Daphnia pulex: one gene and its partners. Each later gene encodes a partner of the first gene's protein in a complex. Links are inferred from orthologs where the notes say so. Each region holds a gene or a part of one and is shown on either strand. Other genes may lie near its edges.

Region 1 (3,811 bases):
TTAACTTTCATGGGTTCACTAATTAAAAAAAGTTGTTTTTTATTTTATTTTTATTTTTTGGCTTAGAGGGAGACGGTAGGAAGCTGGAGAATAGTAATTAAACTAATTAGAACTCACACATTGCAAGACGCAAGAGGCAAGAAAAATTAGCCGTGAAGACGAATGGCGAAATTAAATATTCATGATTTTATGTGTTCCTGGAAGAGTTGGTCTTGAAGCGATGGCATACTTGAGATTGTTGGCTGCACAACTTTACTTTCATAAAAGCTCATAAAATGTTTTCTTACTCTTTGATTTTATTATGAAATAAATAACAATGAAAGAATCATAGGTTGAATATGAAATATCTTTTAATAAATCGCAATAACCGAATTAATAGCCTAATATTTAATTCACACATTTTCTTAATCACCTTGAATGTACTAATTGGAATACAAATTGCAGTTTAAAGTGCGATAACCGCAACTTGGGTTATGACTTTTATTCTCTGTTCGTTTGCATTCGACAAGAATATTTAGACTCACTATAGCTTATACTCACCAGTGTAAAATGATCAAATTTAAAATAGCCTATTCGTTCTTTCTTCGGTAGATAATTTCTTTCAATTATCTTGGACTAGTGTATACAACTTTCAAACTAAAATATATGTTTCTATTCTCTCGCACTGTCCATTTCAAAGCGCAATCAAGTATGTTGTATATTCGATCACGGAGTGGAGTGCTGGCCTGGTCGTCAGCTTCTTGATTCCGCCACCAGCGGCCACCATGAGAAAGGGAAACCCGTTTAGAATTTCAAATTGCTGTGCTCTTTTTATTTTTACCGTTTCGCCATCTCTTGTTTAGACAAATCTATGTTATACATGTATAGCAATTCGTACTAGTGATAGAACTCAATTATAGTAAAAGGAGTTAGTGGACGGACATTGTCCCCCCACAAGACATCGCCTTAAGTACCAATCTAGTTGTTATAACTTTCTCGATTTCGTAGAATTGTTTGATTTTGAATCCAGTTACAAGTGGTAATACATATTCCGATCGAATCAGACCAACTAGTACAAAAAGAGGTTTCCCAGTTTCTGCTTTGTTTCAGAGGGCGATTATATACTTGGCCAGGCATTCCGGTGATTTCGTACTTATTAAAATTCCAAACATTCCGAATCACTTCTCACGGGGCGTTATGAAAAATACCACATTATTCCGCGTCTGAAAGTTACACAGATAGACGTCCTGATTTGCAAATTCCTATAAATCTAGAAAGGCAAGAAAATAATAATAATAATAATATTAGGGAATTCATACTGAAACAAATTTGAGATTTGAGCATTGAGATATGCAATCAGGGTTACATTTGAGGAGGAGTAAAAAGCTAAATGAAAAAATGTTGGCCAATCAAACTATTTCCTGTTAAAAGCTTATTAAAGGGATTGTGCAACAACAAATTTGATCAGTTATTTTTTTTAAGGCCATTAAATTTCCATGCCATTTCGATTTTTGGGGGGTTTTATTAAAGAAAAATGCGTTGACGAACTGATGGTTGCGTAAACTTATCTAATAAAACAAAAGAACGCGCTCTGGCGCGATTTATAGCAGACGATAGACTTGAAGACCTTTTCAGTTGTGTGACGTTGTCGATTGAAAGAAGAAACGATTACTTGTTTTATTAAAGCCGGCCAATATTTAGAACTACATTCTCTTGAATAGGTTTTTCTAGTACGTTGAAGCAGAATTTTTAAAACTGAAAACCATGGAGTCAAAGAAAAAGGAGAAAGAAAAAGAGAAAGACAAGGAGAAAGACAAAGATGTCATCGTTTATGAAAGGGAAATGGAAATGTCTTCAGCTAGTCGGGGTGTTTGGTTGGTGAAAGTACCAAAATACATTTCAAGTCGATGGGATAAATGCCCTGGAAATATTACAGCTGGACAACTGAATATTACTAGGTATGCATCAATTGGTTTATGTTAACAAATCGACAAATCCTTTATTAACTCATTACAACTCTTGTTCAGGGTGCAAGGACAAAAGTCTCAAGTCAAACTTATTCTGTCGGAAGCTATTATGTGTCTCCAGGAAAAAGGAGAGGAACCTATTCCTAAAGAGCATGGATTGATTGTTTCACACATTACTTCACAAACATTGGGTGTATTTTCTCAACAAACCAGTACGTACTACTTGACAGTTATGGGGAAGATTTTTATTTTAGGCCTGAGCTTAAAGCATGATATTTAAAGTGGCGTGCTTGCAATTAATCTAATTTAATATTGACATTTTTGTATTGTTTCCCCAGCTCCAGCCACCGCGAACTCACCTATGGAAACTGAGAAGATCATATTTGAAGGCAAAGTTGCCCAGAAGCTTGAATGTAGACCAACAGGTGAGACCAACAAAATAAAGTTCCTAAGCTTGAAGTGAGCATTAATGATTTTTATTTTCATCAGCAAATGCAAGTTACATGAAACTCAAAAGGGATTCTTTGATTAAAGCTGCCCAACCTACAAGAATTGTGAAGCAATTGGATCGAGTGGTTCAAAGTTACAAACCCATCTCTGACCACAAGCATAATGTAAATATAGCAATTCTCGTCTATTTTTGGTACATCATAACCTTTTATTCCTGATTACAGAAAGAATTCGACGAAAAGAAGAAAGCTGAGGGTAAGAAAGCCAGAGATGATAAGGGCAAAGTTATGGACATGCTGTTTGCAGCTTTTGAAAAGCATCAGTACTACAACATCAAGGACTTGGTAAAACTCACCAACCAACCTGTGGTAAGAAAAAGTTGTTTTCATACAAGCATTTGCACTTTTAAAACCCTCTGCTTTTATAGACCTACCTCAAGGAAATTTTGAAGGATGTTTGTGTATACAATTTGAAGAATCCTCACAAAAACATGTGGGAACTGAAACCGGAATACCGCCACTACAAAGATGAAGACAAGGACTAATAAGTAAACAGTCCATTAACTTTCTAATAAAGCTGTGATTTTCAGAAAACTACTAAACAGCTCTTGGATGCACATAACTTCAGATAACTCAAATGGGTTTCAACTGCCCTTGAAATTGTTCGATAAAATGTTCTCTTAGGCTACAATTTTCCCTTCGTCTAAAAATTCCCGTGCTAACAAGTGTGTGGTCCAATACATCGATGCGAACTTGAAAATTTTACCAATATAATTTATCCCAACCATATCAGGAAGAAATGATTTCATGAGCGAGTTCAGTGCGAAAAGTAGGCTTATGTGCTAACGAGGAACCCCTTTTAAACAGAATCGTAAGATTGTAAAAACAAGAATCAAGTAAAAGGTTACATGTTAATATTTACAGCTTTTCATGGTACCCTACTTACAGTTAACATTATATTATCTCAGTCAAAAGCCATAATCTATTAGAATAGCAACAGCCTGTCTCTTGATGAGATTCATCATCCAACCATGATTCAACCAACAATTTAACGCTGAATATAGTTATCTACAAATTAATTTGTTTTAATTTTCACTAGTTACAATTTGCCAGAATGTAATTTTAAAAATTGTTTATTTGTCAATATAGATACTATAAAATACACCAAACAGAATTATTTCACCAGGAAATCTGCAACTTCAGGTAGCGATGTGAGGGTTCCTGTACAACAACAGAATAAGAATTAGCATTTCAACATCATAGAAAACCATTTAAAGCACACTTCAACAAATTATCCACAGTGTGCCTCAGTGCCTTCAACATCAATTACTTTATGTTACTACTATCAAATGTTTTAATTCGGTTCAATCCATGTGTTCCAAATAAGGAGACAACGGTAGATCAGAATAAATTTTA
Region 2 (2,671 bases), on another chromosome or scaffold:
AAATAAAAATAGTTATTTTTCTGAAGGGTATCGTAGAATTAACCATTAATGAATATTGTCAATAGATCGTGAGATGATATTGATAATAGACTCCTAGAATAAATCACTTCAGTAATCAAAACACTTTCAACTGGTTTTAGTAATCTGAATTTACCCACAAATAACTATGTCTACCATTTCAAGAATTCCTAAAAAAGTGCTCACTCTTAAGCAGGTAATTCCATATTTATAGCATTAACATATCACATTGCAGAGCTTCTGATAAAAAATTATTCTCTCTCAGTTCATGCTTAGGCAAGAGGTTTTGAATTTATACAGAGAAGGTAATTGATTACTTAATATTAGGGTACATAGTTCTGATAACTATTAAACAAGTGTTTTGTTCATCAAGTTCTACGCACAGCTAGAAAAGTAGATAGGCATCAAAAAGACGAAATCATCAAGTGGGCTAGGAGTGACTTTGAAACACACCGATCTCACACTAATGAAGTATTAATTAGTTTGTTTTCATTTGGAATTTATTTCACAGAATTTTATTTTGAAGGAAACAATCAAGGGACTTCTCATCAATGGGAGACAAATGGTGAAAGAATTACAAAGTACAATTAAAAAGACATCTTAGTGTATTATTGTATGTTGGACTCAGTCATTGATTACAAGTTCGTCTATTCCCCAATCTTCATAACTTCCATCAGGAAGATAGCGGCGAATGATTATAGGAATTTTCTTCTGCTTCAATTCTTTCATTGCAATTTGCAGGGGATCTGTTTCGCCTTCCAATTCAACCATGACTGGTGCACACATTGCTATTTGTAATGCTCTGGTCCCTAACACCCGTGCCCTTTCATACCTAAAAATGTAAGACTTGTTTATAGTCTTTCATGAGCTATGCATCTTTCAAGTGTTACATACTTTGTCATGTAAGGTGTTGTAATGCGCTTGGTTTGCAGTTGGCCAGCTCCACCTTCACCTTGCTGAAGTAGATCAATTTGTGCATCATCGTCTGGCTGTTCCATTTCATCCATGTTATCATCGTCTTCAGCATCTTCAAAATCGTCGCCACTAAATAACAGAAATTCAACATGTTGTACATGTGATTAAGAAAAGAAGAAAAACTCCAACTAACTATTAACTTACTCGTCGTTCTCAAAGTCATCGTCTGCCATTATTGTTTAAAGGGTAAGATAATCACAGTGAAAAGTGAAAACTGAGTAAGTTAACAAGACCACGAGATTTCCAGTCAAATTTAAGAGATTTGCATTTGCTACAGCGTGCAGACGATGGTGCCCTAGTCAACCGCCACCGCTTTGTCGAGTTGTCGGCCGAGTCAACTTCGGCGTTCGTTCACCAGGTGGCCTTGCGTCCCTTTCTTGATTCAAATGTCGATTCATAAAGTATACGACTATACGTGTGGACTGTGGATACTTTATGGTTGGATCTCGAATGGACGATTCATGGTAAAATACTAAAATGCATCCATTTGTAACAGGGTATAAGAAAACAGTAATTTAAAATGGAAAATGTCAGCACATCGTTGCTTCGTCGACAGTGTAGGACAGTCCAAATGTGTATTAAATAGCTGGGATATTAAGTTGTCGAACGGTTGCAGAGGGTCGATCTCATCAGAGGCGAAAGTAAACCGGTGGCCGTTAGGAGGACGAGGGCAAGAGATCCTACTTGGGATTTCCGGTGAAGTTAAATGTTTTTTTCCAACTTGTAAAAGATGTAATGTTTTACAGCAATTTGCGTGCTGATTATGTCGCCGTCGTACATGCTCGCACGTAAATGCTTACGCTGGTATCTAATTATTACAACTGCCGGACTGTTAAAATGACTGAGATTTTCAAATTCTGGATTCGATTAGAAAATGTTGCGTTTAATGATTCACCTTGTTTTGAGACTTGTTATTACAAACTAAATGAATAAACGATATAGTAATGTACATTAGTAGGTGGGAGCCCTGGGAGGGCATTCAAATGAGTCGTTAGAACCACGCCGTCGAAAGGCTAATCACGAATACGATTGAAACGAGCATAAGGGGTGTCGATAAAAAGGCGGATGTTCAATGAGTGCCGGAAGTTGATTCAATAATATCCCGGATCTACGTTGAAATGAAGAATAAGAGCTCAGTCTGTTGTAACCGTTTGGATGACCCTTTTCTTTTGGCATCCCTCAGTCGAACCGAACGATATGATCCCGATCTGTTTCCACCTGCCGTCCATCTGTTTGTAATTCATCGATCCGCCACTATCGCCCTGCCATATTTGCATACATTTTAAAAGTAAATTCACTAGGATGATTATGCGTTCACTTACTATGCAAGTTCCCATGTTGTTGGCGCCATCACTGGTGCACATAATGTCCTCCTTGGATGTTGTCGCCATAAGTTGTCCTGCAGTCGTTATTGGAGATGAGCCGGACCGTCATCTTATGTAACACTGGGCTTATACGTGGACTACCTGAATTTTTGAAACATTTAACTTTTATTTTGGATTCTCTCGTCGTCGTATGTTGAACGGAATACCGTCGTAAGTTGTACCCCATCTCGTGACGGTAACCATTTCGTTGACGTAATCAGGTTCGTCGATACCGGAAATTGACAGACACACTGGGCGGATGTACTCTGTACAAAATCTTAAATTTAATTATAATTTTAAATTAAAGAACACGA
Region 3 (3,950 bases), on another chromosome or scaffold:
TCACACACCTGTCACCAGACACCAAAAAAAAGTGAGAAATAAAAAGTATTAAACCAGTTTCTGTATTTATTCAACATGAATTTTGAGATATAGTAATCACATTTTATGACTTGGAAAATCTTTACTTGGTGCGGTATTTCTTGAAAAGGGGGTGTTTGGATAAATTATTTGAAGCTGATGGGCGTTTATATTCCATATAAACTGCGTCATCGGCACCGCTCATTGATGCCATGGTTCCAACGCGTCGTCCAAATGGACCAGGCCGACCTCCAATTTCTCCGGGTACACGCTCTTCATCTGCATCAATATCCGATGCTGTCAGAACCATTTGTAGCAGGTTGGCTTGCTCTTCCTTGCTCTTGTAGTTCAATTCCTGGTCTTGATCCATGCCCGCCATGCGAGTGATGACTTTATAGCTGTATCCTTGATTAACCAAGAATCGCTGACGTTTACGAGAGAAGCTCATTTCCAATGTATCTTGCGATACCAGCGTGTAGAAGAACGCATTGTACTCCTCCGCAATGGCACCTTTCTTGGCTCGAAGAATACGCCCCAAACGTTGAGCTTCTTGACGACGAGAGCCACCGTGCGAGGATATTTGAATAAGCACGTTGGCATCAGGCAAATCGAAGGAAGTATCAGCCACCTTACTGACGAAAATTGTGTTCACCTTCGGATTCAGTTTGAAATTTTGTAGAATTTGAAGCCTTTCGTTCTGAGATGTTGGACCGTAAATGAATGGCTTATTCATGGTAAGCGCATAGTGCTTAAGAGCATACACATTATCCGAAAAAACGATGATTTTGTCATTACGTCGCTCGTGGTAGCGAATAAGAAACTGACAGGCTCTAAACTTGTTAGGATTCATTACGAAGAGAAGCATTTTCTTTGCGGATTTACAGGCCAGATACTCGCGATAGAATTCTGGGCTCATAGGACACCATACTTCAGCGCATTGTACTCGAGCAATGAATCCACGTTTTTGCAGCTCCAACCAATTAGCCTCGTACAGCTTTGGTCCGATCAAAAAATTCAAGTCTGCAATCTTGTCTGTAAGATAAAGAAAATCGTTGATCAGACAAATAAATACATTACAGGTAAAAATAATCAAATACCATCTTCGCGGACGAGAGTAGCTGTCAAACCAAGCTTGCAATGGGCTTGAACAATGGTCAAAACACGACGAAACATGCGAGCTGGAATAGTGTGCACCTCGTCCAACACCATAATACCCCATTCCTGCTCCTGGAGCCACTTCATCGTTTGATCTGCCTCATACGAACGTTTTTGCTGATGTGTTATCATGTTAAAGGTTGTGATCATGATGCTGCATCCATGAGGCTTATCCTTTGCATCAGATGTAAAACGACAGATCATACCTGAAATGAAAAAAAAAAAAAAAACATTTATTTATCAAGTAAAGATAAAAACATATTAACAACTTCTTACTATCGTCAGCAGTAGACCACATCTTAAACTGGGCTTTCCACTGCTCGACTGAAACTCCAGAATTGCACAGAACTAAAGCTCTTTTTCGAACTGTACAACAGGCTGTCACACCAACCAAACTTTTACCAGCTCCACAAGGCAAAACAATGAGCCCAGAGCGAGCACGACCATTGCCAAACATTTTTCGCAGGCTTTTTTCCTGGTAAGGCCGCAATACAGCTGCAGGTCTCAAATCAATGTTTATGTCCTGATTATGAGTGTCGTTACGAAAATCATATTCCGCTAACAAAGGGTATTCTAGCTGAATACATCGCTTTTGAATGACTTCAATTTTTTCTTGATTTACTTCAAATGCAACCGTTTGAAGAGAAGAATCATCTTCGTCGTCCTCATCCTTGTCCATTTTGTCGTAAAAATTCGATATGTCATCAGGCACTTGCTTTCCTTCTTCTCCTGGTTCCTCTCCTGAAGTACCAGGTTTTCCAAATTGAATAGACGTTGCTTTTGATTGAACTTGAGTGATCAGTCCATCTGTTGAAGATTCCACGCTGTGACGAAGTCTGCATTCTTGAATTACAGGATCTTTCAACAATTTTTGGATGACATCTGGATATTGAGACTCAACAAAATAGCGATTGTGCTTCAACACTAATTTGACTTTGCCGTAAGAGAGTGTTGAGATCTTTATGAAGTCTACAATTCCATCAGGGACAGCAGTTTTGCTTAAGCGCTTTAAATACTCTATGATGTCATGAGTTTGCAGCCCGACACTGACGGCAGCATACAATGAGTAAGAAGTCAACTTGTACTCATGTATGTGTTCTGGACGACAAACTGGTTCACTTATTGCAATCAGAAAGTCGTGAGCGTGTTTGTAGACTGGTGAGAATGACTCCAGGAAGATGTGGCCATTGGGAGCAACCCACAATGGTCTAGACATGTGGTCTGGTTTAAGCTGCAAGTCTCGATAATCTTTGGCTCCATATTCATCTTCCCCTTGCCTTTCACCTTCAACTTCAATGAAGTGCTTTGCCGCTTCTGGCACACCCTCAGCTTCATTTCCATCCGGTATGCCTTCATCATAAGCACTCTCATCTTCAAAATCCTTTCGTTTTTTACCAGCAAATTTTTTCTTGGACGCGTCATAACGATCTCCATCTTTTTTCCCGTATTTACGGCTCCCCCCAGCCATATTAAACAGAGGAATAACCGTGAATTATTCTATGAATACTGCTGGAAAATTCTAAACAAATTTAACTTTCTCGGTAAAGTGATTGAATGATGAACTTTGGACGAACACTGAAGTGAAGACTGAACACTGACAGTGAAAACTCAGCTGAGAGAGAGCAACAACACAAAAATAAATCGCCTGAAGCAGAAGCATGGTTCGGGCACACATAGCACACCTAGCGGAAAATCAAGAACGAGAATTATATTTTGTACTTCTTGATCGTTTCGAGTAAATTTATACTTTGAAAACTTATTTCTAACTTCTAAATTAAATGAATTATTTTCCTATATTCAAGCAATCAACGGAGATCATAATAGCAGATGTTTATGCATATATTAAACACCAGAGGCGCACTCGGTACGTCTTACATGCCTTCTTTCCTTGAACGTGATCGTCTGCTTGATATTTTGGCTTTGGTTTGGCAAGTGGCATTTCGCTAACTGCCATCGGAAATAAGAAAAGCAATTCAAATAATTCAATCAAATACATCCAGTTATTATTCTTTCGGATTTCGATCCTGACTTAAGTACTCCTCACCTTGCAATAATGCCCATCTTCAAGTTAAACTAAACTCTACGAGAACTTTCCTGTTGGACGAAGATGAATCCACTAACGTAAGTACTACATAGCTTTTGCATCATTCATAAACTCATAATCTTGTATCAATATTATTTGTGAGAAATTTTCGATTTATGGCTAACTTAAAAAGTATGTTAACACATAGTGAGGGTAAATATAATAAAACTTATCGAAGGTTTTGTGTGGGGGTGTTGTAATGTAGGGACTGGACAACATAAATATAGTTTGGAATCATGTTATCTGCTGGTGCTGCGTAGAACGAAGCATATTATATGCTACCTTATTAGACTAGAATATATTATAAGTTCATTATTAATATGGCTATTTCCTTTTTCTTAGGAATGTGAAGAATATCAAGAAACTCAGCGAGACTGAACTGAAGTACAACATATCAGGAAAAGCTTCATGGCATTATCAATACAAAGACAGTGCTTGGATTTTCATTGGAGGATTGCCTTATGAATTGTCTGAGGGGGACATCATCTGCATTTTTTCTCAGTATGGTTAATACTTAAGTGATGTTTATTATTGCTATTAATAGTTAAAATTTTTTTTTAAGGTATGGAGAGGTTGCAAACATCAATTTAGTACGAGACAAGGTTACAGGCAAGTCTAAAGGCTTTTGTTTTTTATGTTACGAAGATCAAAGATCAACAATTCTTGCAGTTGACAATTTAAATAGCATCAAGGT

The links.
Region 2: general transcription factor IIF subunit 2-like (region 1) and DNA-directed RNA polymerases I, II, and III subunit RPABC2-like share a complex: the UniProt entries of both Homo sapiens proteins name them as parts of the TBP-based Pol II pre-initiation complex. The link is inferred for Daphnia pulex from reciprocal best matches to the Homo sapiens genes GTF2F2 and POLR2F.
Region 3: general transcription factor IIF subunit 2-like (region 1) and general transcription and DNA repair factor IIH helicase subunit XPB-like share a complex: the UniProt entries of both Homo sapiens proteins name them as parts of the TBP-based Pol II pre-initiation complex. The link is inferred for Daphnia pulex from reciprocal best matches to the Homo sapiens genes GTF2F2 and ERCC3.

Annotation. Positions count from the first base shown.
Region 1 is NC_060025.1:405,830-409,640, forward strand, and holds general transcription factor IIF subunit 2-like, read left to right. Parts: upstream 1-1,589; 5' UTR 1,590-1,743; coding exon 1,744-1,937; intron 1,938-2,006; coding exon 2,007-2,158; intron 2,159-2,284; coding exon 2,285-2,371; intron 2,372-2,435; coding exon 2,436-2,560; intron 2,561-2,620; coding exon 2,621-2,764; intron 2,765-2,823; coding exon 2,824-2,940; 3' UTR 2,941-3,155; downstream 3,156-3,811. UniProt on the Homo sapiens protein: TFIIF is a general transcription initiation factor that binds to RNA polymerase II and helps to recruit it to the initiation complex in collaboration with TFIIB.
Region 2 is NC_060023.1:6,841,255-6,843,925, reverse strand, and holds DNA-directed RNA polymerases I, II, and III subunit RPABC2-like, read right to left. Parts: upstream 1,325-2,671; 5' UTR 1,167-1,324; coding exon 1,138-1,166; intron 1,063-1,137; coding exon 913-1,062; intron 851-912; coding exon 643-850; 3' UTR 623-642; coding exon of another isoform or gene 545-622; 3' UTR 501-544; downstream 1-500. Other genes in the region: LYR motif-containing protein 2-like, read left to right, coding at 167-214, 284-323, 392-489, 545-622; chymotrypsin BII-like, read right to left, coding at 2,344-2,459, 2,525-2,623. UniProt on the Homo sapiens protein: DNA-dependent RNA polymerase catalyzes the transcription of DNA into RNA using the four ribonucleoside triphosphates as substrates.
Region 3 is NC_060020.1:5,844,918-5,848,867, reverse strand, and holds general transcription and DNA repair factor IIH helicase subunit XPB-like, read right to left. Parts: upstream 2,801-3,950; 5' UTR 2,642-2,800; coding exon 1,450-2,641; intron 1,380-1,449; coding exon 1,116-1,379; intron 1,051-1,115; coding exon 122-1,050; 3' UTR 47-121; downstream 1-46. Other genes in the region: RNA-binding motif protein, X-linked 2-like, read left to right, coding at 3,281-3,294, 3,599-3,757, 3,819-3,948. UniProt on the Homo sapiens protein: ATP-dependent 3'-5' DNA helicase/translocase. Binds dsDNA rather than ssDNA, unzipping it in a translocase rather than classical helicase activity. Component of the general transcription and DNA repair factor IIH (TFIIH) core complex.